3 linked regions of the Solanum lycopersicum genome follow. The protein of the gene in region 3 binds, or shares a complex with, the protein of the main gene of each other region. Links are inferred from orthologs where the notes say so. Each region holds a gene or a part of one and is shown on either strand. Other genes may lie near its edges.

Region 1 (3,652 bases), on a different chromosome or scaffold from region 3:
ATAATGGGCATTGATCCCAAGCCCTTTGATCCAGAGACATACGTTGAAGAAGATGCTTTCGTGACTGATGAATCTGGATCCAAGAAGCGCCTCAGCTTAGTTAACAACATTGTTCGATGGAGGAAAGTTAGGAAGCCTGATGGCACGACAACTGTAAGTGAATTATATTTCTCCAAAAAGAAAACTGCAAGTGAATTTTGAATAAACTCATTTATACATATATGCTTGGGGATGGATCATAAAATCATCTCATCTTGATTCATCAGTGTAAGTTGAGCTCTATGGCTCAACAACTGTATGTGAATTTTACACTTGTTTATGTTGCGTGCTTGATTCATCAGTATAAGTTGAGCTATACGGCATGGGTTGTCTGATGATGCTAGGAGACTTTCTTATTTTACAAGAAATGGAACTTTTGTTGTTCTGAAGTACTAATTCCACATAATAATTAAAATTATCAAAATGTTAATGGATGGATAAATTCGAGAGTGTGTCCTAGTGGTCAAAGAAGTGGGTTCTGAAAGGGGTTCTCGGGTTCAAAATCTCAATCCCAACTGAAGCATGATCTTTTTGCGGTTCACAACTGTCCAAGCCCCGGGGGAAGAGTTATGAGTAGCAAGTACTCGTGGAATCTGTCAAGGTGCTTGCAAGCTGACTAAGAATCACAGTTATAATGTGACAAGCACAAAAGGGAAAAAAGAAGAAACAAAAGGCATAAGGTAACATCAAATGAACATGAAATCAAGAAAACGAGGAGGTACAATAATAGGTTATGTGTCTAGTCTTTCTTACAAAAACCTAATAGGTTATCTTGAATTTAATGTATTCGGTGGCTGGTCAAATAGTGTTGATGTCTATGTTGGAGCTAAAGCTTTCAACGCTGGACTATGAAATGACAAGTAAAATCCTCCTCCAGCAAAAAAAGAGTAAGGATTATGTCTTAAAGGAAACATTGTGTTTTGGTCATAGAGACTGACATAGAAAGTAGAAACAGATACTTGCATGTCTATATAACTCTACAAGGTGGACTGCTTGTTAGTTATTTATCATTGATCATACTTAAATAACACTTTAATATTTATGTGAGTTTGGATTCACAGATCAAGAAAATTTCTGATTCATTTAGCATTTCTTGCTACTGACTGAATGGATGTTTCTGTATGTAGGTAGAAAGCAATGCTCGCTTTGTGGAATGGTCTGATGGCAGTGTGCAATTAATGATCGGAAATGAAGTTCTGGACATATCTACCCAAGATGCGCAGCAAGATCATTCACACCTGTTTCTTAGACATGGAAAGGTGAATCTCATGTCTATTGTCATATATGATGCAAAATCCTAGTTACTTTGGCTGAGAAATTTCTTGGAAAATAGTGGTCCTATCTTCAAATCAGCAGACAATTTTTTTTTTTTAACAAACAATTATTTATCCAGAACAGTACTTTAGGTAGTGCTGTAACCATATTTACCAAATGGACTCTAGAATGCTTCTATCTCTGTCTATAATGAATCAAGTACATCAATAATAGACACAGAATCATTAAGAGTATAACTGGTTACACCTAAAACAGATCAGCAAGATAAATTTAAGCTTGATCTTCTGCACTTCATTTTCTACACCTTCATAGCATCTGTTGTTCCTCTCCTTCCACATTGTCAACCACATGCATGCTGGGATGAGTTTCCACCTACACCTATTTTTAGCTATAATCCTACTTCATCCCAGCTTCTGAGAAGTTCAGAAACCTTGCCTGGCATGACCCATGTTAGGCTTTAAAGGTTCAAAATAATACTCCATAACCTGCCTGCGACTTGCAATGAAGAAATAAGTTGTTGACTTTCTCGGCAGTCTCCTTGCACAAATCTCCTTGAACACATGTGAATTCCCCTCTTAATCTGTCCCTACATTGTGCTTATCTTTCCTTGCCACCTGAAGACTCCTTTCCCTTCAACTTTTCAGACAGTTTGCCAGTTTCCTCCCTCAACCTGTGATCTTTATTCCTTTTACAAAAGTTAGGCTGCATGTCTCCCTCTTATTATTGAATACTATTAAATTTTTCTTATCTCAATACCTATAGTCTATGTACTTTATGAAACATTTATTGCATTGTGATCCTTAGCATAAACACCCAACTCGCAGGGAATACTACAATCACAAGGGAGAATTTTAAACAAGATGAGGTTTATGCCTTCATCATTGACATCAAACTCGCACCGTTTATTGACTGCCCTTGTTGATTCACGTCATAAGAAAGTTTACAAAGTGAAGAACTGTTTCACCGACATTGACCCTGAGAGGGAGAAAGAGCAAAAGGAGAAGGTAAAATTGATGAGTAATGGATTTTATTTTGCTCTTGGTACGTTGTAGCTGATAAGTTGACTCTGACTTTCTTTTTGTCTATGAAGGCTGAAAGCCAAACAATCAGGGCAGGTGTACTCCTCAATCGGAAAAAGGAGAAGGTCAGCCGAAAATACATGCCTACGTTACGTAGGGAGCGCCAACTCTCTCCTGGTTTCTTGGAGGATGGGCCTGAGGAGGTTAGATATATATTTTTTCATTTGTCATGCATATTGTAGGAAAGCGTTATTCAGTGGCATGATATATTGAAACCTCCTGATTCCTGCTTGCTCTGAAGTGGGTGAATTATCTGTTAAACACGTTTTAATGTTTATTTAAGTGTTGCCTTGTGGAAGACATTAGTTGAACTACTCAGCATTTCATAAGAAAAAGTTGCCACTCTGATCTTTCCTATCTGCCTATTGGAATTTTCTCCCATCATCAGGAAGAGGATACTGATTACTATGACTCTCGACGGTCTGCTGCTCGCCGTCGCTTTGATGAAGACTTAGAAATGGAAGCTCAAGCTGAGAAACGAATCATTAATGCAAAGAAGGTGCAGAAGTCAAGTGGAATCAAAGAAATTTCTTGTTATTTTTTGCTACTTTATCGGCTAACATGAAGATTCTCCCCTTTGTCAGAAAGATATTCCTAGGCAAACATCATTGTCTGCTCCAAAGCATTCTCGACGCCCTGTTGATTTTGATGACAGCGAGAAGGAGGAGTCTGAGTATGAAACCGAAGAGGAAGAAGAGGAGGAAGAGAGGTCTCCACCACGTAGAAGGGCTGTCCAGGAGGAGCCGGAATATGAAGAAGAGCAAGAGCGTGATCAGGGTGAGGAGGAAGAAGCATATGATGAAGAGTCGGAACAGGAGGAGGTAGGAAGCTGTTCTTCATATTCTAGTAATAAACCATCTGAATCTTCTTGATCATGTGTTGCATTTAATTAATAGGTAACTGTGAGAAGCTTAAACTTTTACTGGGAAATTCCTTACTTTTGTTTGGTATTTCTTAATCTGCCTGTTTTAAACTCTTGTCCCAGTACTGTTGTAAACTTTCTAGACACATAGGCCTTCTCATATTGGTTAGTGAGATGGTTCAACAAGATTTGTTTAGTGCTCGACTCTGCATGCCATATTCCTGGGAATACGTGTCAGATGTTCTCTGCCAGTAATTTGTTTGAGAATAATTTTATAAACATGTTGGTCAGGGTAAGGCTTCCTCAGCTGGACTTTCTGAGTAAGACCTTAATGATTGCTAAATATGTTGGTGAGACTTTCAAGACCAAATGGGCTGCTTGCCGTATGACCATATCC
Region 2 (4,100 bases), on a different chromosome or scaffold from region 3:
CTAACGTTTAAATAGGTTTAAATCATATTTTTTAATAATAAATAAATAAATAATGTGACATGACATCTTAATAAGAGTGAGATAATGTATATTTTGTATTTAGTATAATTTGAAAAAAATAAATAAAATTGAATGATATTATAATTCTAAAACAAACATAAGTAATATTCTTAGGTAATTTCTCAAGTGACTATCGAGGAAAATTACTCACATTTCTAGCAACAACTGTTAGCCCAACAAGCTCAACTAGCCTGTGTTATATGGTTGGGAATTTGGGTAATTTTTCCACAAAATAAACTTTAGCTTTTTAATTTATAGTATGGTTTAAGCATAGTTGTATTATGCTAGCTTTCATGTTTCTCAAATCATTAAACTTTTTTAAAATTGAATAAATATCTATTTTTAATAAATTTAATATTTCGATAAATGTATTAGAAAAATGATTTTATAATTAATAATAAAAATAAATTAGAAATTAAGTGAGAAAATATCTTTTGTTTACTAAACTGAACAAGTAAAAGTGAACATTCATTTTTAGTATTATGAATAAACAGAGTCGTATGCAGGAGGGAATTATCGGGTTCATATAAACTCATGCTTCCAGTTGAAATAGTAATGTTGTATATTTTTCTTAATTTTTTGTTAAACATAAATGTGTGATCACACTTGATGTATCATATAATGCGACGATGATTGAATGCACCTCTCACTGAGATTAGAAATTTGAGTTTTATATCTAAATTGTTCTATGTTTCTTTTTAAGATTTAGTAACGTCTTTATAGGTGGATATTGATAACAATTTTTTGGCGGTTTAATTTATTAAGCATTTCAATTTTGAAACTGTAATTTAAAATTCTAACCGTTGTCACTAATAGGAATCTAACTGTAATTTAAAATTCTAACCATTGTCACTAATAAGAATCTAACTGTAATTCAAAATTTTAACTGTTTTCAGTAACAAGAATCTAAATATCAGATCTAATAGATTCGCCTTTTTATAATAATGAACTTATTATTTCGAAATCCTGAATACTTTTCTGTGAATAAATAAACATGTAAATCTCGTGTCTCGTTAGAAATTGATGTTACTCTCTTTATTCTATTCTAAAAATAGATTGTTACTTATTCTTCAAATTATTTTTCACCATTAGTAAGTGATATTAATTATCATTTTTAATTTTTAAATAATGTGCAAAATTTGAATTGGACAAGAAAAGAGTAATTTTTTCTTATATTTGGTCAAAGAAAGTTTTTTGTTTTTTTTTTGGGAAAGTTGCAAAAACATAGGCGACGGCTATATATTGGTGATGCTAACTCAAGTGCCAATTTTGCTGAGCTAAACAAACACTTTGTCTCCTACTCAAATTCCCTCTTCATGTTCCAATTGATTCCTTGTTTAATTTGAACTGCTATTCGTTTTCTCTGTGTTTCTGCTTCATTTGATTGATTCGAATTCGAATTCCATTATCAAATTTGAATTGCAGAATTGAGAAGGGGTTCAATATTGTATTGGGTTAGGTTACCCAGTTTTTGGATTTTGAGAATGCTGAATTCAATGAATTATTTGTTTTGTTTTCATTAGGGTTCTTTTGATTTGATTTTTTTTTTGTGTGTGCGCGCTATAGGTAAATCTGAAGTGGTAAGAAAGAGGATTTGTGAATTGTAGAGCTTATTTTGTGGTTCTAGGGTTTTAGTTTGCATTTGGAGGAGTTGTTGTTGAGTGTCCCATGGCTTCGTATAGGCCATTTCCTCCATCATCGCAGTCGAGTTTTGTTCCTCCGCCACCGCCTCCGCAGAATCAGAACCCTCCGCCACCGCCGTCTCAATCCAGGGGAAGTCAGTACTCGCAGAATTGGGGGGGTTATGGGGTGAATGATGGATCTTCGTATGCTCAGCAGAATTACTCTCAGGTACACCAGGGTTCAAATTATCAGCATCCTGGTTACGTTCCTCCACCTCCTGCCACCAGAAATCAGTATCCACCTCCGCCTCCTCCTCCTGCGGATTCTTCATATCCACCTCCCCCACCACCTTCTGGGCAGCCTCCTCCCCCTCCTGCTCCAATGTATTATCCATCTTCTCAGGACTCCCAGTATAGCCAAAACCATCCCTTGGAGCCCCCACCTCCACCCCCTCCACCTTCATCTCCTCCAACTTCTGCTATTCCTCCTCCTCCCCCACCTTCTCAGCCACCGTCCCCTCCGCCACCTCCTTCATCAGTTCCCCCTCAGAAACAACGTAATGAAAGCAGGCACAGTGTAGAGAAAAGGCGAGAGTCTGGTTGGCGTGAATCAAGGCATGGTAACCACACTGCTCGTTCTAAACAGCCAGACCATTCTGTTCCCCCATTGCCAATGAAAAAATCCAATGCTCATTCAGGAAGGGTTGAGACTGAGGAAGAGAGGAGGTCAAGGAAGAAGAGAGAGATAGAAAAGCAAAGGCATGAAGAGAAGAATAGGCAGCATTTGAAAGAATCACAGAATAAGGTTCTGCAGAAAACCCAAATGTTAACTTCTGGTACGAAGGGTCATGGGTCGATCAGCGCATCACATATGGCTGACAGAAGAACCACCCCTTTGTTAAGTGGAGAGAGGACAGAAAACCGGTTGAAGAAGCCGACAACATTTCTTTGCAAGTTAAAGTAAGACGTTAATTCTGGATTTACAGCCAAGTGATTGTTTGATCCTTAAATATTCCAATTATTCTATTTCTATGTTGGATTAGTTACCTGATATTTTCTAGTGTCGGCTCTGCTGGAGATTGGAGTTTTCAAACACACTGGTTGGTCGAAAGTAATGTTTAGTTTGGGATACTTCGGAATGTTACATACCATTATATGATTTGACTTTCCTTGTAATGAGACGATAAATAACCCTTTAAGCATGCAACTATAACCTTACCATTCACCCCCATAGCACATGACATCTTGTTGCGATGCTTTGAGATCCTTTTTAGTTTGTGCTTTCTTCTAGTTCTGTTCAAATTTGTTCTTGTCGGTGTGGTTTCAGTTTGGGTCGTTGTAAGGGTGAACTTTACATGTGATGTTTGTTCCCTAGGGTAGGTTGGTGATAAACTTAATGAACATCATTTATTCAAATGGTAAGTGTATTTAGTTATTTACTGAATGACTTCTCTTCTATTATGTCATGTCTTTGAAAATGTTCCTTTCTCTGTTAGGATTATTTGTGAAAAGACTATGGTATGCTATCATATGGGACAAACAAGTTGTTTTACATATTAAATATTGCTGAGCATTCTGTAATTTTTGTGTGTTCTCTGCAGATTCAGAAATGAATTACCAGATCCGACAGCGCAACCAAAGCTTTTGACTTTAAGAAGAGACCCAGATCGGTTTGTGGCTCTCCTTTCATTGTGCTGGTCCTTTCACTTGTATTTCTGATGATCAATTCAACTGCAACTGCATCTTCTGACAAAACTAGAAAAAACTAAGCAAATCATGCTCTTTATATGTAGACAAAATGGCTTATCAAAAAATATTTACACAAAATATTCCATCTAGAATGTGCACCTTTTGTGAAGGTTGTCAGGGTTAAATGAGACTTCTTTCCCAAGCACTGCTCACAAGCCTTTTGTGTTTTTCCCCTTGAACATTTTTATCGTGGATTGCTGGTTTGCTACATATGCCTAATTTGGAATTGTGCTTTAACCATCACCTCTGGTTAGTCTGATCCAGAAGTAGTTAGGCTGTCGCTGTTGGTGTGAGAATGGGACGTGGACACAGCTATATCTTCTCTCTCTTAAACTATTTTATCAAGCTGCCTACTTTGTTGATTTTCAGTTGTTGATTTTCAGTTGTTGAATAGCCTCTCTACCCTCCACAGGGTAGTGGTAAGGTTTGCACACACTTTACCATCCCTAGACCCCACTTGTGGGATTTCACTGCGTATGTTGTTGTTGTTGCACAGCATTGCCGTGCTCACTATAAATCATACTAGGCATGAATTTTTCCTAGATTGGTCTTCAATATTTGAATAATAATATTGCTATCTACCTATTAACCAATCAACTATTGTTTTTATGGTTATTGCTACATTTCTCATGTTAGATGTTAGTCATTGCAGTTATTTGATTTACATTG
Region 3 (4,173 bases):
AAATTATTCTCACAATACAAGAAGCTTTACATATTGACAAAAATTAATTTTGAAATATGTATATAGAGAGATAAAGAAATTACTATTAGCCAGCAATGTAAAAAAAATCATACACGCTGAAGAAGTTTTCTTTTGAAATCAGTGATAATGAAGATAAGAAAAATATTTCGTTTGAATATTTTGTAGAATAAAGAAATTACTAATACATCTATTTTTATTTAAGTGAATTTAATACGCATATAAGCAAAAAGATATTAAATAACGTAAATTTTCTATACTTATAAAATGAAAAATCGGTGAGAAATTTAAGAAGCAATAAGTGTTTTTAAATTAAGATAAAAAAAAAAGTTCATCGTTTACAACCAAAACTTGATAGAGCAATGTAAATTTTGGACACATCTCCAAAACTTAGCCTATTATTATTTCTTTAAAAGAAACGAGACATATATAACTATAATGAATGAACTGATTTGAATTTTTTATTCCTATAACTCTTTTTATAAAAAAAAAATATGTCCTCTTGTTAGCTCTGTAACTAGAAATGACTTATTATAGTAATCAATTATATAACTCATATCTGAAATATTTTGCATAAATCACAAATATGAGGCCAAATTTTATTATTCCCCTTGAAAAATACTAAACCTTCACATTAATAAAGTTTGGTTTTAAAAATAATCCACATAAAAGGGCTACATAACCCAATGTCATCATACTTACGTGTATTATTAATCAATTCGATTGAAGAGCATATAATAATATTTTAAATTGGTGTATTTCAGTTAAAATTCTGAAATAGCAAAGCCTTGGGTCAAAATGACACTTGGTTCAGTTATTTTAATTAAAATTAAAATATTTTTTTGAAATATGAAATGTATGCGAATAAAGGAGAAATTTCATGAAAAGAAAATTAATGATTTATATAAATCGCTTAGTGAAAAATGTTCTGAATAAATCCAACGAGTAACTAATAATTCTGTTATAAAAAAAAATAGTATATAAAAAGTAGAATAATATCACTAGATTTTTGATAGTTGCTTAAACATTTTGTTAGATTATTTTTTCGTAAAAAGTAGCATTTTTGAGGTCTCATTTGGCTAGTCAATCCTACTAAATTGGCTAATATTTTAAGTTTGAAGCTTCATCGTTAAATTATTTTATTTTATTTTGTATTATAACAACTTAAAACTATATTATCCAAATTATCGCTACGATTGTAATTAGATACCAAAGTACAGTTGTTTACAAAATTTATTACTCAAAAGGAAATAGCCCAAGCCCAATTTCTTTCTGATGTCAATTTAAAAATAAAAAAAGTGGATCTTAACCCAAACGGATATTTCCTGCTGTGCCCTAATTTGTTTTTTTTTTTTTTTCATTTCTCTCCGGCGAACTCCTTATCGGCGAGATCAATTGTATGTATCTAATTCTTCTCTCCGGCAAACTTGTTTTCATTTCTGTTATTCCTTTGGCGATTATGTTAATGGTAAAATTTTTGCTTGATTGAACAGAAATTTGAAATTTTATAATGATTGAAAGAGTTGAATGGATCTGAATCAATGTTTACCTGATTATTTGCTCATTGGCATAGTTTAGTTCTGTTGTTCTATTTTATTCTGTATCCAGACTTAGGGTTTGTATTTGATGTTTTTGAGTTTTGACTGAGAGTTTTATGTTTCCTTGTTTGGTGGTTTTGTTGTTCTCCTTTCGTTTTATAGTCAAATTGATTGTTGTTATGTTTATAATTTGTCGAAATTGCTGATTTTTTTGAAGTTGTCGTTCAGCAAATTGTTTTTGAGTTTTGACTGAGAGTTTTATATTTCCTTGTTTGGTGGTTTCGTTGTTCTCCTTTCGGTTAATAGTCACATTGATTGTTGTTGTGTTTATAATTTGTCAAAATTGTTGATTTTTGCGTGGTTTTTGAATTTGTTGATATTCAGCAAGTGGCTGAGTGGAATAGAAGACCATGGAAGAAGAGTTAACTGATTTACTGTTGGAGGCTGCTGGTAGAACAAATACTGGTGGAAGGAATCGTCCACCTCATTCATCTAAAAGACATCACAAGAGTTCATATTCTGATGATGGAAGTGATTCCAGGGATGATGACTCTGATGATGGTCGTGGGTATTCAGGTCGAAAGCTTTCTGGTTCACAAGTTCCTCTCAAGAAGAGATTGGACCCTCAAGAAAGAGATGATGATCATAGCAGCCATGGAGAAGGCAATGATGGAGATGGTTATGGCAATGAGAGTGATGATGATTCTATTGGCAGTGATCTTTACAAGGACGATGATGACCGGCAAAAGCTTGCTCAGATGACTGAACTGGAAAGGGAAATGATATTGACTGATCGTGCAGCGAAGAAATCTGACAGGAGTCTGCATGACAAAATGATCAAGGATCGGGCCCAACCAAGGAAACAAAGCTCACCTCCTTCACATTCTCGTGGCATGCGCTCATCAACAAGAGCTTTGGATAGGGCAGCTGACAGAGATGATGCATTGAATGAGATACGAGCAAAACGAGCAAGACAGCAGCAGGATCCCGAGGGTCAATTCAAGCTGAGGGATGCAGCTAGAAAAGGTTCTGGAAGCAGGGGCTATTCACCTATCAAACGTAGAAGTTTTACAGCTGCATCTCTAGGTAGCAGTCCTACCAGGGGAGAAAGTGATTCACATAGTAATGAGGGAGATTCATCAGCTGATGATGGAATGGATGACAGTGATGATGACAAGTCATCACCGGAGTCACAGTTGCCAACATTTGAGGATATAAAAGAAATCTCTATTCGTCGTTCAAAACTGGCAAAATGGTTTATGGAGCCCTTCTTTGATGAGTTAATTGTGGGTTGCTTTGTAAGAGTTGGCATTGGGAGGTCAAGGTCTGGTCCTATCTATAGGCTCTGTGTGGTCCGCAATGTTGATGCTTCAGATCCTAATCGACAATACAAGCTAGAAAATAAAACCACATCCAAATTTCTAAATGTTGTTTGGGGCAATGAAAACTCTGCTGCTAGGTGGCAGATGGCTATGATTTCAGACTCTCCTCCTCTGAGGGATGAGTTTGATCAGTGGGTAAGGGAAGTAGAACGAAGTGGTGGTCGTATGCCTAGTAAGCAAGATGTGTTGGAAAAAAAAGAGGCCATACAGAAATCTAACACATTTGTTTACTCTGCTGACACTGTAAAGCAGATGTTGCAGCAGAAAAAATCTGCAACATGGAGGCCACTTAATGTTGCTGCTGAGAAGGATCGTTTGAGAAGGGATATGGAAGTGGCCAAAATGAAGAATGACGAAGCAGAAGTGGAGAGGATTAAGGCAAGACTGCAGGAACTGGAGGATAGCAGGAAGGTTCAAGAGAAAGATGACAAGGCCCGCAGGCTGGCTGAGATGAACCGGAAGAATAGGGTCGAGAATTTCAAAAATGCATCAGAACTCAGACCAGTGAATCAACTGTTGAAAGCTGGTGAGGCTGGGTATGATCCCTTCTCTAGAAGGTGGACTAGGTCTACAAATTATTTTGCAAAAGGTGCATCCAATGGTGAAGCTGCTGCAGCAGCAGCATTGGCAGCTGAAGATAACAATGGGGCTGGTGGAACTGCTGACGGAGGAATGGCAGCTACAGCAGCAGCCTTGCAGGCTGCAGCAGGCGCTGGGAAGTTGGTGGACACAAATGCTCCTGTAGATCAAGGAACAGAATCAAATACGCTACATGATTTCGATCTGCCTATCTCGTTGGCTGTGCTTCAGAAGTTTGGAGGGTCTCAAGGAGGCCAAGCAGGATTTATGGCTCGCAAACAGAGGATAGAAGCAACTGTTGGATGTAGCGTTCCGGAGAACGATGGCAGAAGACATGCACTAACTTTAAGTGTTAGTGACTACAAGAGAAGGAGAGGACTCCTTTGAGATTTACTGCTTTTGTTGTTTAGCCAAATGAATTGTTGTTACTGGGGATTCATGTACTAGCTGTGAATTAAGAGTACAGTTACTGCTATATTAAAATATGTTGAGACTTTTCTTGAATTTATGCTTCTATAGCAAAGACCTGGTTAACCAGGGGTCTTTTAAGCTTTAATGAGAAAAGCACTCCTTATTATTAACAATATTTCGAGTATTTACCTCCCTTTACGCTTACAAAAAGCAGCACTGAGCTCTTCAATTTTTTGGGATATCAT

What was found.
Region 1: protein RTF1 homolog (region 3) and protein LEO1 homolog share a complex: the UniProt entries of both Arabidopsis thaliana proteins name them as parts of the nuclear PAF1 complex. The link is inferred for Solanum lycopersicum from reciprocal best matches to the Arabidopsis thaliana genes VIP5 and VIP4.
Region 2: protein RTF1 homolog (region 3) and protein PAF1 homolog share a complex: the UniProt entries of both Arabidopsis thaliana proteins name them as parts of the nuclear PAF1 complex. The link is inferred for Solanum lycopersicum from reciprocal best matches to the Arabidopsis thaliana genes VIP5 and ELF7.

What each region holds. Positions count from the first base shown.
Region 1 is NC_090802.1:61,882,184-61,885,835, reverse strand, and holds part of protein LEO1 homolog, read left to right. Parts: coding exon 1-153; intron 154-1,166; coding exon 1,167-1,298; intron 1,299-2,138; coding exon 2,139-2,318; intron 2,319-2,404; coding exon 2,405-2,536; intron 2,537-2,781; coding exon 2,782-2,892; intron 2,893-2,977; coding exon 2,978-3,214; intron 3,215-3,652. UniProt on the Arabidopsis thaliana protein: Component of the PAF1 complex (PAF1C) which is involved in histone modifications such as methylation on histone H3 'Lys-4' (H3K4me3). Involved in regulation of flowering time. Required for the expression of the flowering repressor and MADS box gene FLC.
Region 2 is NC_090802.1:66,089,455-66,093,554, forward strand, and holds the start of protein PAF1 homolog, read left to right. Parts: upstream 1-1,210; 5' UTR 1,211-1,728; coding exon 1,729-2,642; intron 2,643-3,283; coding exon 3,284-3,352; intron 3,353-4,100. UniProt on the Arabidopsis thaliana protein: Component of the PAF1 complex (PAF1C) which is involved in histone modifications such as methylation on histone H3 'Lys-4' (H3K4me3). Involved in regulation of flowering time.
Region 3 is NC_090801.1:59,437,598-59,441,770, forward strand, and holds protein RTF1 homolog, read left to right. Parts: upstream 1-1,227; 5' UTR 1,228-1,415; exon of another isoform or gene 1,416-1,486; intron 1,487-1,940; 5' UTR 1,941-1,966; coding exon 1,967-3,904; 3' UTR 3,905-4,101; downstream 4,102-4,173. UniProt on the Arabidopsis thaliana protein: Component of the PAF1 complex (PAF1C) which is involved in histone modifications such as methylation on histone H3 'Lys-4' (H3K4me3). Involved in regulation of flowering time.